Linked DNA regions of Arabidopsis thaliana. The protein of the gene in region 2 interacts with the protein of the main gene of each other region in a pairwise test. Each region holds a gene or a part of one and is shown on either strand. Other genes may lie near its edges. The genes, in order: NAPRT2 and AT4G32750.

The links.
Region 1: the proteins of AT4G32750 (region 2) and NAPRT2 interact in a two-hybrid assay, tested with the Arabidopsis thaliana proteins (one large-scale study listed by BioGRID).

Annotation. Positions count from the first base shown.
Region 1 is NC_003071.7:9,969,828-9,975,765, reverse strand, and holds NAPRT2 (nicotinate phosphoribosyltransferase 2), read right to left. Parts: upstream 4,164-5,938; 5' UTR 3,948-4,163; coding exon 3,799-3,947; intron 3,708-3,798; coding exon 3,563-3,707; intron 3,475-3,562; coding exon 3,355-3,474; intron 3,263-3,354; coding exon 3,128-3,262; intron 3,035-3,127; coding exon 2,973-3,034; intron 2,877-2,972; coding exon 2,801-2,876; intron 2,578-2,800; coding exon 2,476-2,577; intron 2,342-2,475; coding exon 2,225-2,341; intron 2,135-2,224; coding exon 2,076-2,134; intron 1,971-2,075; coding exon 1,796-1,970; intron 1,713-1,795; coding exon 1,578-1,712; intron 1,493-1,577; coding exon 1,394-1,492; intron 1,311-1,393; coding exon 1,202-1,310; intron 1,126-1,201; coding exon 1,013-1,125; coding exon of another isoform or gene 974-1,012; exon of another isoform or gene 935-973; coding exon 857-934; 3' UTR 559-856; downstream 1-558. UniProt on the Arabidopsis thaliana protein: Catalyzes the first step in the biosynthesis of NAD from nicotinic acid, the ATP-dependent synthesis of beta-nicotinate D-ribonucleotide from nicotinate and 5-phospho-D-ribose 1-phosphate.
Region 2 is NC_003075.7:15,795,350-15,800,455, reverse strand, and holds AT4G32750 (uncharacterized protein), read left to right. Parts: upstream 1-2,201; 5' UTR 2,202-2,364; coding exon 2,365-2,740; intron 2,741-3,280; coding exon 3,281-3,361; intron 3,362-3,616; coding exon 3,617-4,041; 3' UTR 4,042-4,555; downstream 4,556-5,106. Other genes in the region: AT4G32760 (ENTH/VHS/GAT family protein), read right to left, coding at 1-3, 84-182, 494-572, 980-1,080; PC-MYB1 (Homeodomain-like protein), read right to left, coding at 4,813-4,932.

The DNA.
Region 1 (5,938 bases), on a different chromosome or scaffold from region 2:
AGAGTATTGGTCCCGACCAGTTTTGTGTATACTATGTGTTTCTTTTATATCAACAAATTTAACTTTCATCCAAGAAAACCCACGCCCATATCGAGTGCCCTGCCCTCGAAGCCATGGCTATTTGGAGACCATAAGAATTCAAAGTTACACTTGTATAACTCTGTTGTATAAGACCAAAACTATCACTTGTTTTTAACCTCAATTTGGATGGATTATCGTCTTGTCATTTTTAGTCATCTTGTATTCTTGTTAAGTGATTTTTCGTTAAGTAATGGTTTCCTTATATTCCATATTTTTTTTTACTGTTTGGTAAGTTTCTGTAATAAAGTTTTACTCCTCATTTACTCTGTTGTATTTTTCTATTCTCATATTCCATAATTCATCTTTTTGGAAATGAATTTTGAATATGTGGTTAGTGACTAGGTCCACCCCAAACGTCCTAGTAACGCCTAAAGAAGTTTTTGAAGAAAGGTAATGTTCTTCAAATCTCTGCTAGAAAAAACTCAATTAACTCAACTGCTTACCAATCCGTTTGCAACAGTAAGTTGTCAACCATATGACGAAACTAAACCTGATCCAAAATCGTTGACTTGAGTAAATGTTTTTACAGTCTCCAGTATGTTTACAGCTGTAAATATAAAATCTTATTGAATCAGTTGAAAACAAAGTTCCAGTGAACGCAGAGAGTTTCTTTCCTCAGTAAGAAAATGAAACTTACTACGACAATGAGAGATCATCAAAATGTTGTAAGAAAAAGAAACTAAAAGTGAAAAAAATGCATATTTGTGATGCTGTGGTATATAAATTATATACATTACACCAAACCAAAACCAGATTCTTCTTTTTGGTTGTTCTGTCACTGCAATTCACCAACAGGTGCTTCGTTTAGCCATAAGAAGTGGATGAAATCGTACAGCTTTGCGCTTACACTAACCTGTAAACCATGAGAGAAAAAAACATTTACACAGATTTCTCAGAAACTGAAAAACATGTTTGTCGGATAAAACCATACCTTATAAGGAGTTGGGTTTAATCTCCTCATATGATCAGGTCGCATGTTTTCGAGCTGTTTGATGCAACGGTCTCTTATCTCTTTCAAAGGCGGTAATACTTCTCTTGCTTCATCTTCATTGGTATAGAGAAACAATAATCAGTGAAAAGCATTGTCATTAATAACTCTACGGTACCGGAAAATCTTTACCTGCACTTCCACGCCAATAACATTTGAGGAGCTCTTCGACACGTTGTGGCACTACATATGCTCTTTTGGATTCGTTGAATGGGTGACGACAAAGTAAACGCTCACCAACCTTTGATATCAAGAAAGATATTATGTAAAAATGCAATAAGGTAATGAGATTAAAATCTTTGAGAGAGTTATCTTTCGTTTTACCTTTGGAGGTGGTTCGTTCTCTCCAGTCATTATATCTACCAGAGGGTAACCTTCTTTGCCGTATAATCTGTAACTTCGCTTTTTACACGGTATTGATACCTAAACGAATCAGAATGATAATCAGATTAAGTGCAATGTGACATTGAATGTTCAGAACACCAAGAGAGAGAGAGAGAGTTTTAACCTTTGTAACATCTTCAGAAAGTTTAATCCGAGGCTGATTGTTTATCTCCACAAGTTTGAAAACGCAACCTAAGGCCGCTTGTGAATAGCAAGTGACCAAGTAGGTCCCGATGCCAAAAGCATCCACCTCATGTCCCTATAGAGATGAAAGAAAAAACACTGCTTAATAATAATCAATCTTTCGGGGGCATGGCATTTGAGAGTGGGTTAGGGAGTCACCTGTTTATTTAAAGCGTCAATCGTCTCTTCATTTAGATCATTACTAGCAGTGACGACCATCTTCCCAAAACCAGGCACTTTTAGTTCTCTCTCTACCGTGCAGAAGAAATTTCTGGCCTCTCTAGATAGATAAGCTAAATCACCTGAATCCAGTCTAATACCTAATGCTTTATATCTGCGCAGCACAATAAACATCAATTGCATCTCAAATTCCATATGATCCTGAAGAAGTACAAAGTCAAGTCAGACGATCGGGTATTGATAAGAGATTCTTACACACCCAAAGTCATTGAGTGCTAAAGCAACTGCACAGAAGTTAGGGATTCCACTCTTCATCACCTGTAAAACAGTCAGCAAAACACTAATATAAGAGTTTATTAGAAATCCTAAGGCTCAAATGAGCTATCTACTATGGTGTTTAATGCTCACATCGTATGTATCTACGAGGGCAAGAAAAGTTTTGGGGAATGCCAGTGCATATGAGGTGAAAGCTGCTAGCTCGCTTTGATTTGTCTCAGAGAAAATGCCACTTAGAGATGGTGAATACTGTCATCCACAAAGAAACAAAACATAAGAAAAACTGTGACAAAGATTCAAGCAAAGGGTTGAAGCAGAAATAGAACAATGGTCCTGAGACTAGAAAACAGGAAGAGGAAGAGCAAAATGTGCAATAAACAAACCTGAATCTTTTTTAACCATGTCTGAACATGACTAACAAAATCCTCGCACGTGGTTTTCCCATCAGCACTACGAAGTACTTTGTCAACAATCTCATCAGTACTCTGCAATCCAAAGTTAACTAATTATATCGAAAATGCTTTTGTGATATTGTTATGAGCGAGGATATTAAGTGTGCATCAGAACCATGGCTAATAAAGTTATAGCAACAAAGGCATTGACAAGAATATCTTATTTTCACGAAACTTTGTGTTATCGTCTCTACTAGCTAACTCAAGTATGTAACCTCCACATAAAAATTGAAACTTTTGGCTGAAGTGAACTGACCATGAATGAGCTAACATAAGCATGAGAGTGTGTTCCACGAAGAGGAATCCCAAAAAGTTTTCCAGCTGCTACATTACTGTCATTGGCAAAATACCCAACAACACAAAACACATCATTTCCACATTCCCTTTCACCTACTTCCAGATCAACAAAAACAAAAAGCAAGACTTGCCTTGTTGCATCAAAACCTCCAAGGTAGCAATATTTTGATGCGCTTATTGCACCATCCGGACCCTAAGATTCCAACACTAATAACATCAGACAGAGATGGAAAGAACAACACAAAAGGCAATATATCAAAAAACAAGAGAGAGATTTATAGGAAACCTGAGCCCTTCGAGCACCAAACTCGAGTAGACTCTTAGATTTTCCGGCAACAAAGCGATGCCTAGCTGCGTTAGTAGCTACCAAAGATGCAAAATTGACAAGATTGAGGAATGGAGTTTCCAACAATTGAACAACCTATGGAGATTTTACAACAACTGATGAATCATTCATTCAAGAAAACTATTCCTTAAACAATCTTCACAAATGAAAGAGACAAAGAGACTCACACCAACAGGTCCTTCAACTCTCATGAGAGGTACTTTAGGAAAAACAACTGATCCTTCCGGAATTGCATAAACTTCAACATCAGAACAATCAAGCCCTCTAAGATAATCACAAAAAGCTTCCTAATTTGAATCACAAACATAAAACCCTGATTTAAAAATCCAAACTTTAATCAATAACAATCTAAAAACAAACAGATTTTTGATATACCTCAGATCCAGGCAAACACTCTTGAACGAAATCGATTTCTTCATCAGTCAATTTGAAATTGGCTAAGAACTTAACACACTCTTCTAATCCAGCAAACACAGTGTACTCACCACCAAATGGGTTCTTACGAAAATACAGATCGAAACTGAAAAGGAAACAAAAACAATTTCAAATATACAAAACCATTCAGAATTCAACATCAAAAGCAGAGCATGAGAAGAGATTGTGTGTTGTACACGGATCGTTCGTTGTGTTTGCCAGCTTTCCAATAAGCATAAGCCATGGTGAATTGATAAAGATCATTGAGTAAAGGTGTGACCATTGGATTCGTTGGTCCGTCAATGATCTTCTGACCCAATTCTGAGCCGTTCTCTTTCGGCTCCATTGTCGTCGCTTCCAATTTGTGTGGAACAATTGGCTTCGTATGAGTGAGTGTGTGTGTGATTACGAGAGAGTGAATGGACGAGGAACACTGGTTCTTGGTTGTTTATATTGGAGTGGTCAAAGGAAAAAGAAAAAAACAAGTGTGTTTAAAGAAAGAGACGACGACCACCACACAAAGCAAAACTTGCTTTGAACTTGACCTAGTCTTTCTTTAAGAGCCTTTATTGGTTTCTAATTATTTCTCATTTTAGAGTTTAGACTAAAACGAGGTTTAATTTTCGTGGTTGTTGGCTCTTAGATTATTGGAATTTTCACGTTTAAAAGAATTTTATGTGTTGAAAATTGGCATATGGTAGCCAAATTCAACTAATTATAATAATTACTCAGAAAAATTTACATATTGGTATTGGTAACAAATAACAATATCTTGTATCTCTAATAAATTAATGAAAAGAGTTTAGCTGTTTTAATCTAAAAAACTTAAATTACAGAGGCGGGGAATTTTTTCATTTCAAATACATTTTTTTGGTGTGATTTATTTCACATACATAATTCGGAAAACTTGTATAGCGTAAATCTATTGATTAATAATGGTACACACTTGCTGTGTTATGATATATTTGTGTATTTAATGATTTTAGTTTATTGACTATTTTTAATGTGCAATATTAATGATTTTTAGCTCTTTTGCAATCAAATATGCAGTATGATATTTGATTAGTAGTAAATATTTACATTTCACATATATGTTATAGTATTTGATGAATATTGTACTTATAATATATAATATTTGTTAACATTAAAATAGAAAAGGTTAATGTAGATTAATACATCTTAAAACTTCAGTTTCTTAAAATATATAAATATTGTAAAAATGTTCAGATGCTTATTATGGAAAAACAAAACAAAACAGAATTGCATAACACCAAAAATTTTAAACATGATTATGAAAAAATCAATCCAAATTTAGGTACATTTATTTATCAAAGTTTAATTTTACATCAAACAATAGTATCTAAAATGAATTAAAATGAACTCAAACTTAAGACTAAACATAAGATTGTCCCAACTTGGTTTTTGAAGCCATATCGCATATGGCCTAACCATATTCATGGTCTCTTTTATTTGTCAGTGTCATGATATGAGTATCACAATTTGATAGGGTTCTCTTGAAGTTGTTGATTAAAAATAATCAAAACAAATAATTCTGGAGAGAGCCTCCTACGTGGCAGTCAGTGGTTGGTTGATATATTTAACCAACAAAAAATCCTTGTGTCTTTATTTTTCATTCCGTCGGGAAATTTTCTCACTCTCTCTATTGGTCGTCTCTCTCGACGCTGCTCACCATTCCGAGTTCGTTTCACCAAATCGATGACCCAATTCTATATGTGTTTGTCCCAAATCCAATCTCCCACCAAACCCTTGCTTCGTTCCCTCGAATCAGAGCATTGTCAGATAGGAAGATGACTAAGCTTTGATTGATTTAGTTGTGTAGATGATTTGGTTCTTTAGAAAACGAAGAAGTTATCTGATTGATCTGTTTCGTTTTATTGTTTGTTGCATGGGGATCAGTGTTGTTGATTTGGATCCCATAAGAACCAGCTTTTGCTTGGGTACAGTCATTCTAGTAATCTAGTCTGTTCTCTTGGGTTATTAATATTTTCTTCAGTTTGCATTATTAGCGAGAGGAAGTCTACATATGTGTTTGATTGATTCGTAATGCTGGTTATCGTTAACACCTTTATATGGTTTTAAAATCAGGTGATCGTGTGCCCACTAAGTTGAAGAAAGCCATCATGCAAGCCCGAGAAGACAAGAAGCTGACTCAGTCCCAACTTGCTCAAGTATTTTCTCTTTTCTCTGTATCTATCTCTTTCTTTTGTTGCTTTTTCTTAGTAATTGGCTTCATGATGGTTATGTTGTATGTTTTGAGTCATTGGCTTCATAGATGTACAAGACTAGGAGTTTGTTTTGTTGGCGTTATGTATTTTG
Region 2 (5,106 bases):
CGGCTATATGCATCAGACCAATTAGGATTAGAGAGGCAGAGCAAGGGAGAGAGAAAGAGAGACCAATTTGGAAGAACCATTACCTTCTTCTTAACTATCCGGACCATCTCATGAATAACACCTTTCTCAGCCACATGCATATGAACCATGTCACCACAGTTCTTCACTATTGTCTCAAGCAGCTAGAACATAACAAAAAGCATGACGATGAGTGAATAACTATCATTGCAAAACAAACAAGAAAGATGAAAAAACGTGAAAATAATTATCAGCATATCATTCTTGTTAGAAAACTTGTAAGTCATTAAAATCCTCATCATGTACATTAGTATCATGAACAAGTAATCTCTGATCATGTCAACTTCCACTAATAAAAGAGGTTTGTGAAACAAACACGCTATCCAAATGCACCGTTTCAGAAACAACAGTGGCTATTTCAATGAAGTAGCCATCAAGGAAAATAAAAAGGAGAGACAGTTATCTAGGAGCTCACAGTTAAGGCAAGAAGCTGAGCTTTTGGATTCCTGCTACCAATCCGTTTTTTAATGCCTTTCACAACATCTTTTGCTTGCCTACAAAACAGGAACCAGTTTCAGACATCACATAGTATTGGTGCAGTTAGTACACACACTGAAATCTCCTTCTTCCAATCACAAAGCATATAAAGAAAATAACTTGAGAGCTTCTACAATTAAAGCCCTATGAAAGATGACTAAATTGAGCAAAACAGTAGGCCACAAGTATTCCAATTGGTCCTAGAAAACATGGAAATATCTAACTCTGGTAAAGAAACGAAATTTGATTTCCATCTTACTGTTAACTCTCTCTCTCTCTCTCTCACTGAACCAAAAATCCAAATCCGTATAGAGAGTTACAATAGTTTACAGGAGACTAATCGAGAAGTATAGAAAACAAAAGGTAGAGAGAGAGAGAGAGATAACAACAAAAACAAAATCGGAGGGAGCAGAGGGAAACATACGCTGGATCGCTATTGAGCATATCACAGATCTCGAGGTTCATAGCCCAATCAGGCCCGATCAGCATCTCGCTCGTCGCTCTCTCCACCATAGCGTTCACCATCTTCGCTTTGACCCCCAAACAGAAAAACAATTAACCTCCGATTGAAAGAGAGAGACGAATTTTGAAACCAACGAATCAGGCGAAGACGAATTAAGCAGCCGGTAAGATCACGCAAAGAGATTACTCCGGCGAAGAATCTCTCGCTCAGGAATTCACGCCCTTCTCTCTTTCTACTAGAAATCTTTTTTTTTTCCTTTTCTTTTCTTTTTCTCTAATTGTTAATTTTCAGAATTTGTTTTTTAAAAATGTATTTTCTGTACTTCAGATCATTTTTTATTTTCCACGAAATAGCAAAAAAGGAAATAAGTCGAATATCTTCTGGAAAAGGGTCCACTAAAAGATTGCCACGTGTTCATATCGTTGTGTTTGGATAGTTACACCAATTCAGTCAGGTCATTGCTTTCCATCGGACCGTTGCTTTTGACCCACCTATAAATCCGACGGTCATCGTTTCACTAACAGTAAATGTTAGTTATTAGTATTATTATTTTTTCGTTTTTGGGAGCTAAATATAATAATGTTATCCAATCTAAATGAATGAATTAGATTTAGATGGAACATTACAGTTTGATGATTGGTCGATTCTCAACAGCTTACAATGTTTTCTTTTTAATGATCGAAACAAAGTATTTGCAAAACAAAACTAACCAGCGATTACGATTGCGATTGCACACGTATGCAATTAATTATGAGTGTCATTTGATAACGCTATGAAACCGTTAAATCCACATCTTTACAAAATTCATCATAAAGAAAACATTTTGGTCTTATGAAAGTCGTGATTGGTGTGATACAAACCTAAACCAACTTGCTACACATCTATTTACTCTCTATTCTATTCTATTGAGTTCTCGTTTCTTTATCACTTTCTGTGTTGGATGTATTCACCCACTTGCAAAAAATAATTTAGATTTATAGACATCAAAATTGCATAAGAGTGTTAGTTCTAACTTCATCAGTTGAATTAATTAGGACTCTATAGCTAAGCATATTCTAATTCTATGATTATGATAATAATTGAGCGGGAAGTGGGGATAGATTCGAACTTTAACAAACTATTGGGGGTCAAACTGTAATTACACAGAAGTTATCAAAGCAAGTACCTTTACACGCGCCTAATTGTTTCTGCATCACTAATACTTCTTCCTCATTTCCCCAGTTCGGTGTTCATTGATTTAGGGTTCCTGATAAACTTCGGAAACCCCTATTTTGAATTGTTTCGGAATTATCTGGTGAGAAGGGTCTAATTCGATTGTGGATTAGTTTTTTTTTTGTGTTTCTTCAATGGCGATCATTGGAGATGCGTTGCGTCAAGCGTTTATGCCAAAGCAAGAGTACGAGAGCCTTAGGGAAGAAGATAGAGCCTGGATTAAGCTTCAGAGGCCGACTTTAGTCTCGATCGTGGCTTTCCTTTGTTTTGTCATCTTCACTTGCACGATCGTCAGCTTGAAAATTGTATTTCCTTCGAATGTTCTTAAGAGGCCATTTTGCAGCGACATAAAGCTACAACCTTTGCCTATCTATGGCAAAGCTCGTGACTCCGATCTCTTTCCCGGTGCTTTTTACTTGACCGATCAAGAAACTGTTGATTATTACTGGATGGTCGTTTTCGTTCCCTCGACTATAATTTTCCTTGTATCATCTGTTTATCTTGTAGCAGGTGAGCGTCAAGTCTCTAGCTTTTGTTCTTCGTTATTTCATATCTACAGAGCTGGGTTTGCATTTGTGTTTTGTTGGCTGATTTCATTAGATGATGCTCAGTTCTGAGTGGCTTTACGCTAGATATTGATGCTTAGCAAATTTCTGGCAAAATGGCTTCTGAATTTTTCGATTGGTGAGGTGAAATATTGTCAGAGAGGGTTGATTGATTGATGTGTCCTCAAAATCTGAATGCTCGTTGTTATGTTTAGTTCTAGAATCACTCGTTTTGATTGAAGCCACTATATAAAGACAGGTCTGATGATGGTTCAGGTTTATTGGGATTTTAGGGGGTTAGCCATAGAGCAAGCTGTGGAGTTTGCTAAATCCAGTTAATTCCTCTGCTAGATTTTGTTGGATTTGAATTTTATATGGATGTAACTTAGTGGAGCTGATTTATTTCCTTTATTGCTTTCTGCCTCCACATGGCAGCCCTTCTAAGTTTTACAGGTGTGGTATGTCTGCTGCTTATTATTCTCGCTATTTTGTTGCAATACTGCAGGAATTTTTGTGGCTTATTCCGCTCCTCACCGTCATGGGTTTCTAAAAGTCGTTGAAAATAACTACTGTGCTTCAAGAAGAGGTATACTCTCTTCTCTCTTTAATATGTATTCAGCTTTCCATATTTGTTCTTTGTATATCCATGCATTCGTGTAATAGATTCATTCCTTTTCAGTGCCAGACTTTATCTTATAAATTTTTATGTGTAATTCTATTTCATCTGCTAGTAATTACTATGTTTCTACCTTTGAGAATCTGGGCTCTTCAGAGTTTATCACTAAGCTTGGACCTCAAAATAGGTTATTGATCTTCTTTATCATGTCCAATAAATTCACAGGTGGGGTCCGTTGTCTGTCAATTCTGAATGTTGTGTTTGCTATCATCTATGGTCTCCTTGCTATATTTCTCGGCTCAAGCCTCCTCACATTAGGAAGCAGCTGTTCTGTGCCTTTGTTTTGGTGCTACGAGATTTCTTCATGGGGTTTAGTAATCTTGTATGCTGGAACTGCTTTCTCCCTTAGAAGAAGAGCTGCTTTAACTATTGACGAAGGAGAGTTTGGGAACAGAAATGATCAGGGCTTGGAGATGCTTGAAGCTAATCCGTTGGAATTCACACCAGACGTTGAAAGACGAGTGAACGAGGGGTTTAAAGCATGGATGGGACCATCTTTATTATCATCTGATGAAGAAGAAGACGAACCTGACTTTTACAATGAAGTGCCGAATGTAACTCATACTCTTTCAAGCAGGCAAAGATCTTGATTCTTGCAAAGAAGAATTTGGTATGACACTTATGCAAACCTCCAAAGATGATTGCTTCAGAGATTGGGCTCACCAAATTGTTCCCTCAGTGATTCTCGGGTTATTTCATGTCTCTGCTTTCTGCTGATGTTGTTTATGGACGGATCATGAGAAGATTTTGATCCGGAAGATAAATCAGAACGGTTAGGACTGTTGCTGTTGTAGATATACACATAGTGGATCAATCAAGATTGTGTTTGGTTCTGTCTTTTGAGCAGTTCATGGTCGGTTTTGATCGTTTACATTGTTCATTGTAGGAATCTTGGGTTTGTAGTATAGGCCTAACAATACATTTTGATTGTACAATAACCTTTAGATCAACAGTAATAGCATCATAAAAGGATTAGTATTAACTTCCAAGTCCTATAAAAGAAGAATCTGTGTCTACACAATATCATAATACAAACTTTGCTGGTTTTTAATGGTTTTATGAATCAGTATCATACCTGAACATTGTGAAAAATTCTTAGCATTTAACAGAACAAGAAGAAAATCACTTGGTTCATCATGAGGACGAGAACTTTTGGAGTTACAAGTTAATTACTTGAGAACAAGTTACTTTTTCGCTATTTAATCAATGGTATGATGTCCAGAGTTGAGAGATCTACACATTTAAAAAAATTAGAAACAAGAAAATTGGACAAGGAGGGAATAAAAAAGACATACACATATGGGATCAAAAAATTGAAGGCGAGACTCCCTTCAGAACTCTATGAACAAAACCACCCTTCTCTATCTGCAACTCTTCAAAAGGTAAGATGATGGGCTTGAGTAGCCTCCCGGAGAAGCCGAAGGTACCTTAGCTTTCCCTGGTGTCCCACAATCGCTGAAGTCTAAGGCGCGACACTCCACCTGCATTCCACAGAGAATTGGTTCACAGTACGTCAATTTATAAACTCAAAACTGTTATTCCTTTTAATCTACCAAGTTCAAGATCCAATTTCAACATTAAGCTAGACCAGGTGTATTGATTAGAGGACTTGATCAATTTGAAACTTATTGAGAGTTTGTATGATATATAAGGTG